2 linked regions of the Kluyveromyces lactis genome follow. The protein of the gene in region 1 binds, or shares a complex with, the protein of each later gene. Links are inferred from orthologs where the notes say so. Each region holds a gene or a part of one and is shown in the gene's direction. Other genes may lie near its edges.

Region 1 (2,382 bases):
GAAGCATGCAATCGAATCGTTCGCACCTAATAAATTCCATTTTGCATCACAGTATTGCCAGCTGCCGGGTACCCAAGTAGATTCAATCCAGATCCAATCGGAAGGTAGTTCTTCGTGGAACTTCCATGGTGTTACAGATGGAGTTTGGGTGAATGAATTAGAGAAGTGAGCTCTTTCGTAAGGTAGCAATTTTGGGGTCCAGCCCTCTTGCTTCCATTTTCTCTCGTTTTCATCAACGTTGTATTCGATGATCTTGACGTGTACGTAATCGGATTCTGGATCAATCTTAGTTGGATCCTGAAGGATTAACATTTGTAGTTGAACCTGTAGCTCTTGGCCCTTCAAGCCTTGTAGAGATTTAGGGAATGGAATGACTTGACTCTCACAAATCACCTTGTATTGTTGAAAGTTGGTTTCCAGTTTGGATTCCGATGGTACGCTGTCCCATATATAATAGTAACATCGCCTTATCCACAAATACCTCCATAGGAGTTTCATCGTGCTCTGGTAATACACTGAATGGAACACGGAGACAAGGCTAATGACAAGCACTGAGTATGTTCGTACATCCAAAAAACTAACGGTAATTAAATGAATTACTGTCAGAAGAGCCACTATCTTAAAGGTTTGTGAATTGATATTAGTAAGTTTTCTTACCTTGTCTGTACCGAGGACTTCATTTTGAACCGTTTTAAGCTTCTCAAGAACAGAGTCCAAAGTATGAGTGATTTCATCTATTGTGGGTGCTTCGCTCTGTTCAAGCTCTTTCCATAGCGTATAATTGTAATAAAACATAGTGCCAGCAAGAATGAATACGCTTGTGTACCCCAACCATATATCAAACGCTTGGAAAAGTAAGGAAGTATTCTTCGGTACAACCAACGCTGTTGAGTAACATAGCAATATAATATATATCAACTGTAAGGAAACATCGTCAATATGCCACATAAGTTTATCCAATAACTGGTCCAGCAGTAGGAGCCAAGGATATAATCTATAAAGACATGCAATTGTAATGGGCTCTAAGTCTTGTGGTTTATATGGGGGATTAACTGATTTCGATTTAGAAACAAATCTGACATGAAGTTTCTTGTTGCTCATGGTACATCTGAACAATATTGTATGCACTAATAACCGATTTTGAGCTTATCCAGACGCCGTTTTCTTTTCTTGCCCTTTACTTGTTATTTGCACAATCGGTATTGTAATCTATATTTCCTTTTAATTAAAGTCTCTGATTTTGAATTGGCCTGAAGAAGTGAACAAGAGAAACGGCTTTTCTAAGAAGACAAGAGAAGCAATCTGCTTCGTGGGCGTTCGAAAAAACCTTACAACACCACGTTATGGGAAATACTAAGGATTTAAATCAGTTACGAAGAAAACTTCCGACAGTGAAGACGTTTTCTCATGATAAAATTAAAACTACAATCTACGTGAAGAGCTCATCGCCTTACATTTCCGTGGTGAAACGAACCAACAGGTTTCTTTCCAACCTGCATAGACGTAAAAGTGAATACATTACACTACTGGGCATGGGTAAAGCTGTTTTCAAAACTCTATCAGTTGCTGCACACTTCAATACAATGGGTGATTACAAAGTTGACATATTAACGAAGACATTAGATGTTTTGGATGAGGTATTCGCTGATGATGGTAAAGATGAAGATGGAAATGAGGTTTCAACAGAGGACAGGGAAACGGAACTGACAAAGCGTACTTTGAGCGGTGTTGAAGTGCGTATAAGTCCTGTATAATTGCGTAATCAATATTAGTATGGGAAGCGCACATTAATATAGAGTTACATAGATATTTCAGTGTAGACATATCAAATACTAGCGGGACGGTTGCAATTCCAACCTTGCTTTTGACTTTTCGATCATGTATCTGAGTTCTTCTAACTCTCTGCGTATCTTGTTTTTCTTATTGAACGGCTCGAACTTATGCAATAACGGCTCTGATACTTTTAAACACTTCATGTAATCTCTTTCGTAATAATATTTCTGAGCATAAGAGACCATTTTCTGTCGTACTTGCTTCAATGCATAGTCAAAACTCTCATCTTCAATCAACAGATCAAAATCTTCCATCTTCAAGGCATCTTCCTCAGTTCTCGTTGGACCTTTCTCCTCCAAGAAATACTGTCTAAGTTGTTCCTTATATTCTTCCGCGCTCTGACCTCTTCTTACTTTCGTTTTACCTGTTGTTTTCCTAACCAGTACCTCTCCTGTATTACTATCGATGGTGATCGGTTTTGTCAATGCTTGGTTCCTTCTACCACCCTTTGTAAGGTCCGCATTATCACTTGGAGTCACAACCGATTTTGAACCAGCCGAAGCAATGTGAAGGCCAGAAAAACTCGAAACCAGTTCTGACATTCTTCGA
Region 2 (2,341 bases), about 1.3 Mb from region 1:
GTCACTGTCCCAAGAGACTCTGCAATGAGATTCTTAGTAATTGGATCCTCAGTAAATGTTCGTGGCGAAGAAACAAGAACTTATACGTTGGACTTTGTGGACATGTTTTCACGTCAATGTCAATATTCGAAAGATGATCTAAAAGATTTCGAATATATTTCATTAAGTCACCCTAACACCAAGGAGTGCTTGTTTGGACACAAGGCAAAATATTTACGTAAAAAGTCTGACGATTGTTATGTCGGCATGGCACCTCTCGAAGATAAATTTAGGATTTTTGCAAACTGTTCCTGTACCAGAAATGACTATGAATGTGATTATAATTTCATGCGTGTGTCTGATGGTACTTGCAAGTTAATCGATGGCTTAAAACCAGCAGATCCTAAAGACATCTGCTCCAAAGACAATTCCTTAATCGAATACTTCGAACCAACTGGCTATAGAAAGATCGCTCTTTCTACCTGCAATGGCGGATTGATGCTCGCTAACTCTGATAGTCCTCACCCTTGTCCAGGAAAAGAGAAAGAGTTCAAAGAGAAGTATAAAGTAAACCATACATCATTCTTAGCAATATGGATCTTTGCTGTTCTGATATTCACTGGCATGCTGTCATTCATTTATTATAGAGGTATAAAGAGGAATGGTGGGTTTGCTCGTTTCGGTGAAATTAGATTAGGAGATGATGACCTCATAGAAGAGAACAATACCGATAGAGCTGTAAACACAGTTCTTAGAAACGGAGTGTTCCTCTTCTCTAATGTTTACACCGGTCTTCAATATTTCGGACACCAAGTGGGGAATTTCTTCAAGAGAGGCTTAAGCAGATTTGGAAACACAACAGGTCCAAGTTATCAATCCCTCTTACACGATCAATTTTTAGATGACGCAGATGATTTACTTGTTGGACACGATGAAGATGCTGACGATCTTGCAAGTTTCATCGAGAATGAGGGTAATTTTGAAATCGGTAACGACGAAGAAGTTGACCTCTCATCTGATACACCAACCCATGCACCATATTCTGATAACCCAGAGGAAGCGAATCCTCATGAGTCAACTTAAAACATCAACACTTACCTAGTTTATGTTTTTGAAGATACTCGAACTCTTTAACATTATACATAATTTTCGTATAGAAAATGGATTTTAATTTAACTTTCGGGTAGTTCACTACTAACAGCTTATAATCTTTATAAAGTAAACATAGAGGCATATATGAGTGTCATACCTTGAAATTTTTTCAGTCTTTCTGATCAGTTAATCTTTGAATAAACCTTTTTCAATGTGAAAATGTGAAATTTAAACCTGGATAAGAATAACTAACAATACAAGAGAAGCGAATATTGATGTCGGCTCGATTCCGGTAGTATGTGTTCAGAGTTTGTCTAATCTCTCATCTTTTCGAAAAGGATCAAGGAACAAACATGGCTAAGTTCAAACCAGAATGGTTTTATTTTAAACTAAAGGTAACGTCGCATGATTCGGAAAAAGACAATGAGATCCAAGTGGATAAAGTAACTTGGCTTCAAATGTTGAATACAGCTTTGAAAAGATCTCACGGTGTATTTGGCGAAGCAATTGAGTACGAATTATTATACGTGGATAATTTGGATACTATTGCAAAGGTAAGCGTCAATGATACTGATATTTTTACTACTGCCATAAGCACTTACATAGCGAGCGATGAGTTGGTCGGTACCTCACTAATAATAAATGTGCTCGAACAAAGCAATAACCTGTCCGGATTGACCGTTCATGAGGATGATAGAATATGGTTCAAGAAATTGGTAGAATCCGAAGCCGAGATAGAAGCTGAATCCAAAGAAAAAGAAAGATTATAAACTAAATCATAAATATTGATGCATAAAATAATAATAACCCAGAATGGTGGAACACGGAAGAACGATTACTTCCATTGAAAGAAGCCACAAGATGCTTCTGGATCATCTTTTTCGCCTTTTGATCGATTGCACACCCAAAACTTTTTACCAAAGCTTTTGTCAGTCTTAGAGACTCGAAGAACAGCTTCTTCACCATGTTCACAAACTGGTGCTTTTCCAAGCATTTCCTCGAAAGCCTTCATATGTGCACTCTTGACGCGCGACTGAGGCTGTATCGATACATTTTTGTTTTGATCTTTGGAAACTGTTGCTGAGGCCAGAGCATTCATGCCGTTATATTGCTTGACATTCAGTGGTTTTACTACTTTGCCCGTGCTTGTCGTGGAAGGACTGGTGCTTTTGCGATTGGCCTTGCGGAACATATCTAAAATGTTCCCATGGTTCAAGAAATATCTCGTGGCAGCCTCAAATTTTGGCTTATTGAAGCTTTCATGTTTAAG

What was found. Proteins that work in one complex are often made in the same cells at the same time.
Region 2: POP7 (region 1) and POP8 share a complex: the UniProt entries of both Saccharomyces cerevisiae proteins name them as parts of the nuclear RNase P and RNase MRP complex. The link is inferred for Kluyveromyces lactis from reciprocal best matches to the Saccharomyces cerevisiae genes POP7 and POP8.

The regions. Positions count from the first base shown.
Region 1 is NC_006041.1:2,187,563-2,189,944, forward strand, and holds POP7 (ribonuclease P/MRP protein subunit POP7), read left to right. Parts: upstream 1-1,343; coding exon 1,344-1,754; downstream 1,755-2,382. Other genes in the region: PEX32 (Pex32p), read right to left, coding at 1-1,101; KLLA0_E24685g (uncharacterized protein), read right to left, coding at 1,833-2,382. UniProt on the Saccharomyces cerevisiae protein: Component of ribonuclease P, a protein complex that generates mature tRNA molecules by cleaving their 5'-ends. Also a component of RNase MRP, which cleaves pre-rRNA sequences.
Region 2 is NC_006041.1:923,422-925,762, reverse strand, and holds POP8 (ribonuclease P), read left to right. Parts: upstream 1-1,424; coding exon 1,425-1,841; downstream 1,842-2,341. Other genes in the region: PEP1 (type I sorting receptor), read left to right, coding at 1-1,062; DNA-(apurinic or apyrimidinic site) lyase APN2, read right to left, coding at 1,907-2,341. UniProt on the Saccharomyces cerevisiae protein: Component of ribonuclease P, a protein complex that generates mature tRNA molecules by cleaving their 5'-ends. Also a component of RNase MRP, which cleaves pre-rRNA sequences.